3 linked regions of the Arabidopsis thaliana genome follow. The protein of the gene in region 2 purifies or fractionates together with the protein of the main gene of each other region. This does not show direct contact. Each region holds a gene or a part of one and is shown on either strand. Other genes may lie near its edges.

Evidence for each region. Proteins that work in one complex are often made in the same cells at the same time.
Region 1: the proteins of EIF3G2 (region 2) and EIF2 fractionate together in Arabidopsis thaliana (co-fractionation; one large-scale study listed by BioGRID). This does not show direct contact.
Region 3: the proteins of EIF3G2 (region 2) and TIF3C2 fractionate together in Arabidopsis thaliana (co-fractionation; one large-scale study listed by BioGRID). This does not show direct contact.

What each region holds. Positions count from the first base shown.
Region 1 is NC_003071.7:16,697,353-16,702,658, forward strand, and holds EIF2 (eukaryotic translation initiation factor 2), read right to left. Parts: upstream 2,958-5,306; 5' UTR 2,578-2,957; coding exon 2,332-2,577; intron 2,148-2,331; coding exon 2,068-2,147; intron 1,920-2,067; coding exon 1,690-1,919; intron 1,463-1,689; coding exon 1,341-1,462; intron 1,259-1,340; coding exon 1,145-1,258; intron 1,070-1,144; coding exon 980-1,069; 3' UTR 689-979; downstream 1-688. Other genes in the region: HSPRO2 (ortholog of sugar beet HS1 PRO-1 2), read right to left, coding at 3,297-4,604.
Region 2 is NC_003076.8:1,806,188-1,810,899, forward strand, and holds EIF3G2 (eukaryotic translation initiation factor 3G2), read left to right. Parts: upstream 1-1,923; 5' UTR 1,924-1,981; coding exon 1,982-2,312; intron 2,313-2,374; exon of another isoform or gene 2,375-2,529; intron 2,530-2,569; exon of another isoform or gene 2,570-2,724; intron 2,725-2,959; coding exon 2,960-3,555; 3' UTR 3,556-3,669; downstream 3,670-4,712. Other genes in the region: PRA1.A2 (prenylated RAB acceptor 1.A2), read left to right, coding at 1-25, 118-189, 269-372; AT5G05990 (Mitochondrial glycoprotein family protein), read right to left, coding at 724-883, 960-1,336, 1,466-1,708; AT5G06010 (uncharacterized protein), read left to right, coding at 3,753-4,076.
Region 3 is NC_003074.8:8,089,966-8,095,594, forward strand, and holds TIF3C2 (eukaryotic translation initiation factor 3 subunit C2), read right to left. Parts: upstream 3,284-5,629; coding exon 3,254-3,283; intron 3,160-3,253; coding exon 1,537-3,159; intron 1,454-1,536; coding exon 689-1,453; downstream 1-688. Other genes in the region: AT3G22850 (aluminum induced protein with YGL and LRDR motifs), read left to right, coding at 1-25, 126-310.

The DNA.
Region 1 (5,306 bases), on a different chromosome or scaffold from region 2:
TACTGTGAACAATGTATGCAAGTTGTTCACTTACATCACAAGTGCATGCACGTCTTTAATGTTGACCCATCTACACACCGGCCTACACATATTCTTCTCAAGTTTGATATGTACATGTACTGGTACGGTCGTATATGTCTGTATAACATCGTATGTAGTACGTATGTTGACAGAGAAACAGGCGTATACATTTGCTATCAAAATCCATTCCACAAAAACTCCCCTCATGTTTTTACAACACAAACTAAAATAATCAAGTTTTTAACCACAAAAACTTCAAATACTCGTTCGGATTCAGCGAAATCAGTTTAATGTATTCCGATACATAAACCGTAGCTCTAATTTAGCTTATCAGAAAGACAAAAAAACGGGTAAAAAAATTGATTGTGTTAGTTGTGTAGTGAAAGCAGGAAATGAAAAAATTGCTGAATGATTTCAATCGCAAATGTTGTGTAATATTTAGATATTAACTTCCAATAGTGTCTATTATATGCCAAAGTTAGCATTATTATATGCAACCGCAAATCGCAAATTGTTTACAATTTAGAAGTTAGTTTCCAATAGTGTCTATTAAGCCTGTTTTGTAAGATCCTACATAGGCCAATCGCAATACGGCAAAAGAGAAAGCAGTAATTCTAGGCTTCTATACTCTTTCAATGTAACATAGCTAATAGAGAGAGACCATGATCCAAAATTCTGAGCATAAATATCTCCAGTGATAAAGATTAGGCGCAACAAGTGGCAAATAAAAAAAGAACAAAGCTCATTTATATGTATATTGTTTAAAATTAGGCACACCAACTAAAAATCCCTTTTAAAGACCTTAATTCACGAAACAGAGCATTTTGTCTTTCTTAAACTTGCAATTTAGGAACACTACAACAAGAAGCTGATTCTTACATAAACTTGTTAAAAGAAAATTCGAAACCAAAAAAGCAGCATTCCCCATTTTTAGCAAAACCTTGTGTTTCCAAGCTTATTATAGCATTTGAGCAGCTGTGTTTAGCTTCTCCGCTAGACTCAACTGTGTCCTTGTTATGCTTGATAGGTACAACAGAAGCAATTGGTCCTGAAATAACAGAAGAAACAACCATTAGTTTTTTACAAAGTGTTTTGCTTTGGCTTGAAATTTACAATCTTTTACCTGGAGACTATCATTCACGAGGTTATCGAAGACTTGTGGAGGTAACTTGGGAAGGGAGGCTACTGCATCTGCAATGAATCGTCCAATGTTGTTGTCTGGAGCTATTTGACCTCCCTGGGAAATTTCATTAAAACTCTGTATCAAAGATCATGTATCTATGGTCGATAATAGACAGTCAAGGATATCATAAGCTTACCACGACACTGTCAACATATTTGTAGACATCGTTGATTAGAGTTAACAGCCTCTCCATTGTTAACTCCATTCCTTCCAAGTCATTTGGGAGTTTGTCAACAGATGTTGCCTTAAGTACATCGACTGTGGATCAAAATGATGTTTTTAAATCAGTCACAATCATTAATCTACTGAACAGACACAACCAAAGATCATCTATTCCCGTTGGTTCATTCACAATCATTAGGGAAACAATCTCTAGATACTGAATCAACCATGCAGAAACTGAACTACTTAGACAATTGAGGAATGAGGACTGTTATGTATTTTGAATATAGAATTGGTTACTAATAAAAGGATAGAATACTCACATCCGACTCTCTCAGCATCAACCATGCGGAGATCAACAGGAATCTCTTGAAAATGTGCAACGAGTTGTCGATCACCGAGTGAGAGGTTTGAAGAGACAAAAGCTTTGATAGTACCCTCACCATTAGTAAACCCAGTATCCACAGTTAGGTGAATTGGGTTGGGTACTTCTCTAGCATAGAAATCATGAATCAGCGAACTACCGCCATTAACCCCAGCACCAGTTGAATACCTGCAAATCAATAAACTTGTTCAATCAACTATTCCAAAATGAGAAACTACCTAATGCAGTGTTCCAACACAGCTACAAGAATCATGTGACAAAGATATGAGACTAATCATGAGAGTATAAGAGAATAAGAGTGGGAAACGAGAAGTACCAGCCGACAATAGTTTCCTTTGAATTCACCTTAAGGTGTGAAGCTAACATATTGTGGTGGTAATCAATATCCACAGCAACCTGCATCCATATCAAACCATAACCCTCAAAACTTATCACAAGTCACAACCTTGGGGTATGAAGCTAACACTACTCCTATAAACATTCACATCCTAACAAGCAAATCTTCAGCTACGAAAGATCTAGGATCTCCAACGATAGAGAATCGAGAGAGAGGAGAAATTTAGAGATCAAAATTTCGAACCTGATCGGATGATTCATTGTGAGGGACGGCGTATGAATTGCGGATATCGACGGTTCCGTCAGGTAAGATAGATCCGAGGAGAGTTCCGATGACTCGTTCAGCTGAGTCAGGACGTCTCACGAAGCAATCACAGACGTTAAAGATAACGAGAGGGTGGATCCTCGCCGTGAGTACAGAGGTTGTAGCGGACGCCGTTGATGACGGAGACACAAATTGCAAGATGGTGTGCTCGCTCGTCGCCGCCATGGTTAAGATTCTGAGAAGGGGTAAAAGGCGCGAGAGAGTGGAGATTTAGGGTTTCCGATGTGAGCGTCAGAGGAAGGTAGGAGAAGGCATCAATGATACAGAAGATAGGTTATGTGCCAGTGGGCCTACAAACAGGCCCATTAAATGTTTTTCTTGGACTAATGAATGAATACTCATTCAAACACTTCCCTTCTTTCTCTTAATGAAATTTGTTGAACACAAAAAACAGAGAAAGGCAATGTCGTTTTATACATCGGTTTGGTTACTCATCGTCGGTTTGGGTTTTTTATAACGTTTTTGTGTGTGTGTTTATCATTGAATTTTGAATATTATACACTGTGAAAGTGAAATTGTGTTTTTCTCATAATTTAACATCTACAAAGGATAGGTGTGAAATTGTGTTTTTCTCATACACTAACATCTACGAAGGATAGGTGGTGATTTGTTGACGATTAGTCAGAGCATATAGATTAGTCGTTACTCGTTAGTAGACCACCCATATTTGAATTACGACTTGTGGATAATTCAAAGTATGGATTACGATATTCGTAAATGTTATCGTTTGTTAAAAAATCTCATAAATCATATAAAAATGAATTTGTATTCAAATATGGATCGTCAAATGTTCCAAAAATTTCACTATCTTACAAACTAAATTAAACCAAACCACCAATTTAAATTTATATTAAATAATTATACCAGCAGAAATTAAAATTTAATCATCCCAAATGACTCCAAAACTCTCCCAGAAACGTCTTTGCCGCGTCAAGGCTCGGGAAATACGTCGGCTCCATAAATATCTGACTCAGTGAGTCACACGACTCTTGACTCGCCGTCGCGTTCATCTCCGCACTTCCCATCATAGCCGCCACTAACTGCCTATACCCAAAGAAGAAACTCTTCGCCGCCGCTTCCACCGCTTGCATCCCCTGAAGCAAATGAATCTTATCGCACTCTGTCTTCCTCGCGTAAAGCTTCATCGCCGCCTCTTGTAATCTTGGTCCTCCGGTTGGATCTACCTCAACCGCCAAGACCGCCGGTACTTTCTGTCTCAGATCTTTCGACATCTTCATCATCTCCACTAATCCTTTAGATCTGAAACAAAACGCATCGTTTTTACCCGTCGATTTGATCTGTAACTGTTTCTTCAATTTCAAAAAATCTTCCGGATCCATCAACATATGAAGATCTTCAATCTCCGCTAAAATTTTCCAGATCTTCTCCAGCAAGTAAACATCGTTTGAAGCTTTTCCGAATTTCTCTTCTTCGATACTTGAGACGATTCGATTCAGAAGATTTCCAGATGCGTAGATCCACGATTCGAGGATCTGGTGAATGATATAGAGAGTTTGATTCTCGTGATTATCGATATGATCTGCGTATGGATTATCCTTGAGGCTATAGATCTCGTTTGGTCGGCAAATCGCATCGTACCGGAGATTTGGTTTTCCGGCGATGTTTTGTTCACCGAGTCCGAGCGTGTACTTACACCGACTCATCTCGTTATCGATCGTATATAAGATCTTCTTCCCCAAAGCCTCTGATCTCCTCCACGTAGCTAGCTGCGGTAACAAACTCAACGAACTCCGTCCACCGCCGACCGGAGCCTCCGCTGATATACCTTCTTCTTCTTCATCTTCGCAGATCGCTGCTACAAGCTGGATCTGCTTCGTGATGAGAGAATCTAGCCTCCGGTTCCATTCACGGTGGTTGATGTACGGTCTAGTATCAGAACAAACGGCGAAAACTAATCTGAAACTGATCTCCAAAGCTTGAAGAGCTGGTTTGAGAATCGGCTCTGATGTCCATTGAGGAAAATCACGAGATGACCAGAGCTTTCTTAGCTCAGGGAGACGAAGGTAAAGCTCGTAAGCAGAGCAAAGAGCAGGTGCTGAACATGAGATCGGAGATGAAACAGGGACGATTTTGAACGGTGATGGAATAGTTACGTGAAGCTTTGAAGAAAGCTTAGGTGAGTTTGGTAAATCTGATGATACCATCTTCCTCTTCCAATCCATATCAACCATTTTTATTTTTTTAAGGTCTGTGTTTTTTTTGGTGTGTGTGTTTGTGTTTGTGTGTTAAATTTTGAATTTGAGGATGAGTTTAGGATACGAGGAGAGTATATATAGAGAGAAATGTGGATAGAGGATGGGGACGAGAAAAAAGGCGTGTGGAATAATACCGACGCGACTGATTTGAAAGTCAGCGTAGAAACGCGGTCTCCTTTTTAAAAAAAAAAAAAACCAGTACTGTGGATTAATTTCAGGATAATCTTTTTTTCGTTTTTTGGCTTTATATTGCTTTTTGAACTGTTTTCTATGAAAGGTAAATGCCTGATGATTAGTCGAATGTTCAGTAATCTGATTTCTAAGGAAATATCGAATATTTTCTCGTTTTTGGTAAGATATTATCTTTTAATAAAAGTTAAAGTTAAAACACACAGTCATGTTCATAACATGTTAATACATATATAGAAATGTTTTATTTGATGATATATGCGATGTAGTATAACATTTAGGGGTTGATCGATAAGAATATAAAATTTTCTGCAAATACATTTTTGAAAGTCAGTCATGCGTTATGGGTTGTCACTTATGAGCAATATTTACAAGCTGTAGATAGTTTTTGATCGAAGCAAATATATAATAATTTTGATAGTTGTCGATCTACAGCTACAAGTTCAACTAATCATGCACATGGTGTTTTGAATATATATCAACAATCGT
Region 2 (4,712 bases):
GTATTCGTTATTACTTTCCTTACAGGTACTTGAATACTCATAATTCCTCTTTATGTAGTTAATGTAATATTGGTGTTAAAAACTGATCAATGTGTTAATTTTCTCATGTATATATAGCCAGTCTTGTCATGTGGTTTTCTTCCTGCGGTTTGTTGTGGGTCCTCTATGCACTTCTCACTTCCCTTGCTGGTAAAGTTATTCCTCCTGTTTGATCATAGATGTCCTTTGATGGAGTTTATGTTTTGACCTTAACATTTTTTCTCCACAGTGATCATTGTTCATGCAAGCATAAGAACCCCAAATCTCAAGGCACGCTTAAACACATTCCGTGAAGAATTCCGGGCTGTCTGGCGTAACTACAGTGAACTTTAAGTCACAGGTCGCGCTACACAATCTAGAAACAAACAAAACAGTCATCTGACAAGTGAGGGGATGCTTTCCCTCAACCATGTTCGCAGTTTATTCTTATGATGGCAGATGTAGCTCTATTTTTACATGGTTAAGATGGTTATTGGCAGTTCGATAGCAGACAGAATAGATTCACTTGAAATAGTGGACATACTTGACCAAGTTACTTCTAATTGGTGTAGTGATGTTTATACTTTTCTCACTGTCTCACAATACTCTTTTTTTATATAAATAGATCCAAACATAATTGAATGGTGTTTCAAGTACAAAATTTGGAAGACAAAGAGCATCGGAAAATAACATTGTTTTCTTATTTCAATACTTGACAAAGTTCTTGAGAGATTTCAACCACAGTAAGTGCTCTCTACTATCCTTGTTGATCATGTACTCGTGCAAGAAGTTGATCATGCTCGGCTTTATCCCTCTAATCTCAATGTACCTATGGAAAGCCTTCCTTAGCTTTTCATCCAAAACCCTGCAGAAAGAAACCATCAAAGATCATCGCTTTGATTCTGGTAACATCAAAAGCTTAAAACTTTTTCTTCTATTACCTGAAGGAAGGTCCTTCATAAGCAAGCTCATCTTTGGAAGGATCATCAGGAAATGTAACCCACATGTCCTTGATCGCAATCCTGTCTGGAAAAGCAGTACATCTAAATTCCAAACTTGGTCCTGTCTTCTTGGAAAGAGTTACTAAGAGAGGCACATTCGATTGCTTAGGCTTCAATGGCTTATCCTCATCTTCATCTTCTTCATTCTCTGCTTCTTCCTCATCATCTTCATCATCTTCTTTGTCACCAGTCACAAGATTAGTCATGTGTACTTCAACTTTAACAGTCTCTCCTTCATATTCTCTAGTCAATGTCACAATCTTCCCTCCTGGTTTGTCTTCCATTTCGAAAGGGAAGCCACTTGGAGTTTCTTCAACCTTTATTCAAACAAAAGAAGAAACAGAGAGATTACACACCATTGCCATTGAAACAGAGCTTCACGAAACACATAAATCTTAATAAACAAAATTTGCAGAAACTAAAACATGAAAATGGTAAGGATTTACTCGATGATAATCATCAGCTTTCTCGGCGTATCCAATCTCCTCTTCAATGATTCGAAGAAGCGGATCAGTTGGAGAAGCTCTCTTTTTGGTCGATGTGGTAAATGGAACATTCCGGTCAACCGACGGCGTCAGATGTCGCCTCCGGCCAGAAGCGGACTGGTCCAACAATGAGTAAACGAAAGAACGGTTTTTCCAATAACTTCCCACAAACCGAGAAGCTGCGCGACGTACAAGAGTCGCCATTTTTTTTGTGTTGAAGCTCAAATTGGAAGAGTGAGGGTTTTTATTTCCCTTTAGGGTTTAATATAGCAAATTACAAATTTAGCGGGACTTAAATTAAAAATCACAGAAAATCAGGACCGGCTAAAAATACGGGCCAATATGGGCCTAGTGGCCCATTACGACATTAAGAGACCGTTTCCATAATCCGAAACCCTAGTTTGCTTCTGTCTTTAGTTGTTGCCTTTTAAACTAAACTAACGAACTTAATAAGCGGCATATCTAAATCTGAGAAAAATGGCGATTGATACGATACAAAAAACAAAAAAGCTTCGGTGGGGAGAAATTGACGAAGAAGAAGGCGACTATGATTTCCTTCTTCCGCCTAAGCAGATGATTAGTCCGGACCAGAACGGTGTAAAGAAGGTGATTGAGTACAAATTCAACGAAGAGGACAAAAAGGTCAAAATCACTACCACGACCCGTGTTCAGAAGCGAGCTCTCACCAAACAAGCCGTGGAGCGACGGAGCTGGAATAAGTTCGGAGACGCAGCTCATGAAGAATCCAGTAGTTACCTCACAATGCGTTCAACAGAGGATATCATCTTGGAACGAATTAGAGCTCCTGGTAAAATCTTCAACTTTGCATTTTAGTTTGTTAGGATTCGTTGTTATTATGCTCTGTTTTGATTAGGGTGGCTAATTAGCCAGTCACATGTTAGCTTTATGGCTACTGTTTGTGTGAATGGTCAGTAAGCACACCTATAGCAATGTCGTTGGTGATTCGTTTCAACACTAGAACAGGATTTAACCCAGTTTTTGGTTATGGATCATCAACTATATCTTTGGTTCAAGTTTTTTTTTTGTAACTGTGTAACATAACAAAGGTGCCCAATTAGCCGATCACATATTAGCCATATATGGCTGCTTCTTTCTGTGATTGGTCAGTATGTCACCAATATAAGTATCTTGTTGGTAGCCTTTTCTGAATGTGGACAAATTCTGTGTTCTCTTTTCTAGGCTATTAACTGTACACATTCAAGTATTCATTTTTACATAAGTTTCTTTATAGGTGGACACGTTAGTCAGCCATATTGTTCTATATGTGGGTGGCCGTAATGCCCACCTAGATGTTTTGTTGGTGGCTTCTTGCACGAAAGTAGATTTCTGCTTTCACTTTATAGCTGCCAACTACATTTTTAGTTTTTGCATTACCATCTTAAAGGGTAGTATTATTTTGAGGTTTTAAGATGTTTATTCTTTTGAATATCTCAGGTAGCAACGCGGAACAGTCGACCGTATCAGGAGATAGCATGTCTCAGTTGGGCAAACCGGGTGCGGTCCTCATGGTCTGCAGGTTATGCCAAAAGAAAGGTGACCACTGGACATCAAGATGCCCACAGAAGGATCTCTTATCCTTAATGGACGAGCCTTTAACAGCAGAAACTTCTACATCGACCATAACTGGAACTGGCAGGGCGGCTTATGTCCCGCCAAGCATGAGAGAAGGTGCAGACAGAAAAGCTGGTGGTTCAGACATGAGGAGTAGACATGATGAGAACTCTGTCCGTGTGACTAATTTGTCTGAAGATACCCGTGGACCAGATTTGATGGAGTTGTTTCGTCCGTTTGGTGCTGTAACCCGTTGTCATGTAGCCATTGATCAGAAGACAAGCATGAGCAGAGGATTTGGTTTTGTCAGTTTTGTGAGCAGGGAAGATGCACAGCGAGCAATCAACAAATTGAATGGCTATGGTTATGATAACCTCATTCTTAGGGTTGAATGGTCCACTCCTAAAACCCAATTAGATCCGTTTTCATTCGCTGATTATAATAATCTTTGTAAGTTGTTGAATATATGTCATTCATGATTATAAGTTCTCGCGATACATAGTAATTCATGTTGGGGTCTCGTATGCAAGTTCCTACTAAATGTATTTCGGTTGAATACGTGCAAAAAAAGTAATAAAACTCTCTTTATTACGGCAAGCATGTTACTTAGAAATGATCATAAGGGAAGGACCAAGTAAGGGCAATTAATCAAGTGAATATCATCAAATTCAAAGAGATGGGAAACAAGGACTCGAAAGGCTCTTCTTCTTCAACCAATCCGAAAGAGGAGATTGCTGCTGTACCTCAGCCTCAACAGTCACCACCGCAATTGATCCGAAAATCGCAACCACAGCAGCCATTACCACCACCTTCGTCTGAGATGCCTCTTCTCTATCCGTGTTACAAAAAAGAAGACTATGAGAAAATGAGCGAAGAGACAATCGATATGCTCTTAGCGACTTACGGAATCATGACAGTCCCTGGCGATTTAGCTGACAAGAGAAAGTTTGCTTTTGAAACCTTTCGTTGGGATCATAAGAACAATCACCCCAAAGCTTAGCAACTACTTGTCTAGTATAATGAAACTAACGTTTTATGATTGGACCTAAACACATTCATAATTCGTTCATTAACACAAGAAAATATAAATCAAAATGCTAGTACTTGTACAATATCGAATATTTTAATCACTTTAACATCTCTTGAACAAGTTTCAGAAAAAATTGTTAAGACTAAAAGGCCCTAATTTTACCAAAATAATTATATTTTATTTTGAGTTTTGCCAAAGGTCCAAAAATGAATTGAGCCGGAACTGTATCCAATATGGAACATAGTTTTTACAAAATTATAGTTTTACAAAATTTAAACTATATCCAACATGGAACAAAGTTTAAACCCGCGGGCCTAATGGGTTTTATAAAATTTAAACGGATAGCCGGTTTTAGAAATCATAGTTTTTTTTTTTTTTGACAAAGTTTTTTTCTTTAAACTTGTTAATCTGAGACAATTTAATTCTTTGAAGAATATATGAAAACACTAAATTAATCATGAACTTTTACTATACTAAAAAAATAAAGAGATCTTCAATCTTCAATGGTGGAAACTGAAAAGTCTTTTTTTTTACTTTAAAATTTAATTTAATTAGTTAAGTAAAGAATAAATAAAAATACCAAATAAAAATCGTGAACTTTATTTT
Region 3 (5,629 bases), on a different chromosome or scaffold from region 2:
AAATCCTTTGCGCCATTCCCTAAAGGTATGTAGCAAGCCGTTTTTCGGGTTTTGAAGACATCTCACTGTTCTTTGATCTAGTGCAAATATGAATTAGGATGTGGTTGTGTGTATGCATAATGCAGGATGTTTCTTTACCTCATCTGGAGGTTTGAGGAGCTATGAGCATCCATCAAATGAGTTAAAGCCGGTACCAAGGGTAGACAGTTCGGGTGAGGTTTGCGGTGTAACGTTTAAAGTGGATTCTGAGGCCAAGAAAGAAGCGATGCCTAGGGTTGGGAGTGTTCAGAATTGGTCTAAACAAATCTGAACTAGCTGAAAAAGGCTTGTTTTATTTTTTACTTGTTGGACTCCTGTGGCTGTGTTCCACAGATTTACTCTTTTCCTGATATTCTCACTGTAGCCATTCTAAGGACTAATGGTGCTCTTATTGCTATTGTACCTGTACTTGGTAACAAGGAAGCTAAGAATAAAATATTTTATAAACGTCTAATGATTCCAGTGTATGCATATGATGTCATATTGATAAAACCAGAGCTGCAAGAACATGAGCTCCAACAATAACAATTCATAAACAACCTTTGGTAACAAAACAAAACCTAAAACTGTAATGAAACATAATGACAGGTCTTAGACTCTTAGTAAGAGCCTAAGGTTAACACTGCCTGCAGATTTCTCCACATTCTCTTTACGCAGAAACGCCTCGGGTAAGACTTGAGCCATCCATTTTCAGACCTCTGTTGTCTGATGCTGCTGCTGCATAGTCCTGACTGTTTTCCCTTCTCCTTGAAGTCATATCAAGGCCAACACCACCAGTTTTAGACTCCATTGCACTTTCGTTGCTTTCTGCTAGAGTCGCGAGTTTTTCGGTAATCTGAAAAGCCAAGGATTGTGCTCTGTTATGTTGCACTTCATGGAAGACGATGCATTGAGTTGGCTGGTCCCATGTTGCATTAAGCTCCTTGTTGATCATCATCTTGCTCACAATACTATAGACGTGTGACTCAGAGATGTCAAACATTTTGGCTAGCTCAGCTAGACTTAAGGACTTGTAACAGGAGCTCGAGTATGTGAATAAATAAGTCCTTAGAGCCACTTCACTGATACTAGCTTTCACCATATCGAGTATGCTGTCGCGGTTCTTGAACAGTCTCCAGATATCAAGAGAGTTCAAAACTGAAAACGCTTCTTGGAAGTTTCCTTTGATCAGGGCTCTGGTGGCTGCAATGACATGGACACGTACATTTTCAGGGGGTGCAGTGAACGCTTGCTTCTCACTTTTCTCGAGCAGGCGCTGAATATTCTTGCTAATCGGTTTGTGTTTGGAATCATGCGAGTTTGCTGCCATGTTTGGGACTTCAAGTAGCATGGCACAAGTAAGATAAACAGCCTCCAAGAGCTCGAGGTTTATGTTCATATGGTACGGTATTTGTGTTCTCCTCTCCATAAGCATCTATAGTTAAAACAAAAAACAGAGAAATTAGACTCTACTAAAATGAAAAAGAACATAATATGTTCTATAAGGTCAATATTTACCTGCTCTGTTGTCTTCTCGTGGTCTCGACTTTGCGAGACACCTTGACCAAGCAACTCCCTAACTCTATTCCCAGAGTACAGCTCAGAGAGACAGCTATGTGACTCAGTTATCATTCCAACCCGAAAAGCGCAAAGACCAAGTTGTGCCATTGTCCTGTTAAAGAGAATCTGTGTAGAGATGTCCATGTGTTGAATGTTTTCTTGTAGATGACTCATCAGCAACAAGTCTCTAGCAGTAACAAAATTGTCCATTAAAGCATGTTGATAGATATCACATAGCATTGCTCTGGCTTTGGTCCTCTCATCTCCATTTTTGTAGATAAAGGATACAAGTGTATCCATCATAGCTCTGCTGCTCTTTGCGAAGGTAGGCTTACGAGGAACAATCTCCGCAACAACAATGAATGAAGAAGAAGAAGATCCACTTTCCTCGTTAGCCTCCTCAATTTCCTCATCAGCCAATTTACTCATAGCATCAAAAACTTCTTGAGGCTTGTAATAGATTGACTCGACTAGTATAAAGGCTACCTTTGAAGCAGCTTTAGAATCGCCTGTCCGCTCCAAGTAGTCTTGGATACTCTGAGCAAGAGCCAAGAACATAGGCTCATCTTTCAACCTCTCAACATAATCATTGGTGTGAGGATCAATGCACTGCAAACTCTTGAAAAACTCTGTCTCAATCTTCTCTAAGAATGCAACCAAATTTCCCGAGACCCGAATGGTTCCATCGTATGCCGCTGGCTTTGAAGTTTCCTTCTCATCAGGTTCAACGGTATCATCCACAACAATGTTATAGTACTTGACAAGAATGTCAAGTATGGTAAGCATGTTAACCACACATTTCTTCCAGACATCGATAGGCATGTATCCGCTGAGACCACCAGAATTCACATTAAACTCTGCTGAAATAACACTAAACAAGATTTCAACCTTCTGTGCAGGAGTCTTGGCGATCTTTGTCAAGTCCATATGCTTCTGCGCATGAGTCTCGCCGGGTTTGAGTTTAAGGCTAGAACTTCTTCTTTTGCTCCAACGAGCAGCCCTAATTTCTTTGAACTTCTTGTTGACCATGTTCCAAGTTATCTCTTCATGATCTAAACTAAACAACATCTCCCAAGAAACATTATCAGCAGAATCCTCCACCACCTCCTCTTCATACTCATCATCGTCTTCGATTTCTGGAGACTCCCTAAATCTTTTGATATCTTCTTGGTACTGCAGATTGTTCTTCTTCAGTTTCTGTCTCATTGCGTTCAAAGCCTTGGAGTTACTAGTACTCATCTTCTCCTTTGTTTTCATATTATCTTCATTCAAGAAATCTTCCAACATCACAAGGGTCTTGATATACAAAGTCGGAGTCTTTACGGACTTACTAATCTGTTTGTTGAGTTTCTCAAACGTTTCTTGCAAGTAAACACAATCATTGATGTTCATGGCATGCTTCATATTCTCTATAGTGTTGGCCATCTCCTCAAAACGTTTATCTTTTTTTGGCTTAACCACACGTTTAGTATCCATACCACAACAAATCTCACCGTCAGGTAAGTCTGCAAGGTAACGAGTGTTGTTACCCTCAACCTCTTCTTTTTCAAAGTCACTCTCATCTTCACTTTCACTTCCACTCTGTAAACGAAACATAAGCAAAGAAAAAGCATTAAGAAACTGTTACAAAAAAATATAGGTTTTGATAAGTAAACAAAGGTCTATGGAAAGAAACCTGAGCGAAAAAACGAGAAGTCGTCGTCATCTTCGTTAGCAAGGAGAAGAACCTGATACATCAAAATATAAAACTTTGAGACGATGGAGATATAATTGCAGGGGGGACACAAAACATAGATGAAGAACAAAAAACTCGAACCTAAAATTTGTTCAAGGAAAGATGAAGAAGAATGAAATTACCTTTGATTGATTTGAGACGATGGAGAGATTGATGTGAGACGATGGAGATGCTTGACTAGAGAATAACGAATCGTTAAGAAGAGAGGCGAATTAGGGTTTACTATAAGAGAATATTACGTGATTAGACACTTTTTTGAAAGTTTATCCGTAATTAGGCACTTAAAAATCATTAGGCACTTTGAATAATTAAAATTACTTGTTCACCCTCGTATCGTCGGTTTTCTATAACCAAACAAATCAAATCTATTTTCACTAAACCAATTCAGATTTATGGAGTCCACGATTTTGTAGTTGCCTTTGTGATTTAAATTTTTTTTCCAGAATCGTAAAAATCCAAATCCAATAAAAAATCCTAAATTACAATTTCTCGAAAAGGGGACTCCGGCGACGGGATATCCATCTCCTCCGTCACTGTCCACCACCACTGCTTTTCACACTACACTCTCGTTTGCTCTTTCAACCGTAAAACACCAAACCCAATTCTCTTGTCATTTCCTCTAAATCTCTGCAATTTCTTAAATCGATTTGGATTTACTTTGCCTGAAAATCTCTTAACTCGTACTGTCCAAACTCAATTTCAATTTCAATTGAGGTTACTTCGAGAAAAGTTCAAGAATTTCGGAACAACTAAGGTAAAGTTTTGTCATGTTGACTTCGGAGATCTTGTTCGTAATTCTGTGATAATGTTTGATAACTTCTCTGCCCAGTTTGTTTGAAATTCAGTACTTGAGGTTCTCTATTGGACAGAAGATGAACATATGGACTACAACACTTGGACAATCCGTAATGGACAACCACACATTTTGTTTGCAGCGTATGTGTCGTTACAAAATTGAAAATCATTGTCCACGACCATACATGACTGCACAGCTTGGTGTTTGATAATTCAAGGAAAAAGCCATATAAAGGTTCTATTTCTTAATCTTACATTTTGGAAGAAATCAAATCATTGATTTAAGAAATAATATGTAAGCTTGGATGCTAGAGCTTTAGGTGATCCTATGGCCAGATTAGGATATTGATTTAACTTTGTTCTTACTGCTACTCAACATTGATTGTCTGGTATTAAGTTGTAAAAGAGTAATTTGACTTATCCATTTGTGTTGATATAATTGGTCATTATAATGTGATTAGTCAATAGAAAACCTTAGAGTACATAATATCAAACTTTTAACTTTGTTAATTTCTTTAGGCGAGTGGGTGAATACATCAGTTAGACTTGCTTTTGCACATCATGTGATCATCGTTATTGATGTCATCCAAAGAAATTTGTCCATTCATACGCAAACATGAAGGTACTGTTGTTTGGACACTCCTTACTTTAAAACCCCACCTTAGTTTGCAAGTCATTACTTGACTAATTTACTTTAAAAACAAAATTTAGGTTAGGAACATTGTGTCAGATCCTATTTTCGATACAAGTGGGAACATCCAAGTCAACAAACCTACAATGGGGTACCAAATTTTATTAATCGTCTACTCCTTGTTACGTTGGACATGATTTTTTGGATACTTTCTTACATTTTTTCCTTATTGAAGGTCGTGTTTCTTATGGTTTTTCTGACCATCTTCATTTCTACTTCAACTCAATCAGAACATTTTGGAGAGGCTTCCTGCATCCCAATCATTGAAAGATCCCCAAACTGAAAAAAAATTCTAATGAGCAAATGAAGGTCTACATGTACACTAAATTATCTTTATGATTTACAGTCCTTGTAATATTGGACAGTATTTTTTGGATAGATATTTAAATAATCTTCTTATTGGAGGCATCGCTTTTTGTTGGTGATCTAGTATTTGATATCAGTTCCAAACTTGACCAACATACTCAATCATCTCCCACACATAATCCCAAAGTTGGGTTATCTCCAATGGAAGTATTTCTTATCATCTACAACTGTCTATCGATGCACTCTATCTATCATTTGTAAATATGTCTTAGTAAAGTATAATAATTTCACAACATCATTATTATATCTTTCAGTATAAAATCTCTCTCTATCAAGATATGGATCTACACGATGTTGTGGATAATCAGGTAGGCATAAAATTAAATAACTAGAACATGTATATTTATTATTACTGAAAAGCAGTCAATTTTTACTACAACATTCTTAGTTCTATTATTAATTGTTTACAGAAAACATAAGATTGCTATCAAAGTCTTGTTAGTTATGTTGTGAAACCAATCTCT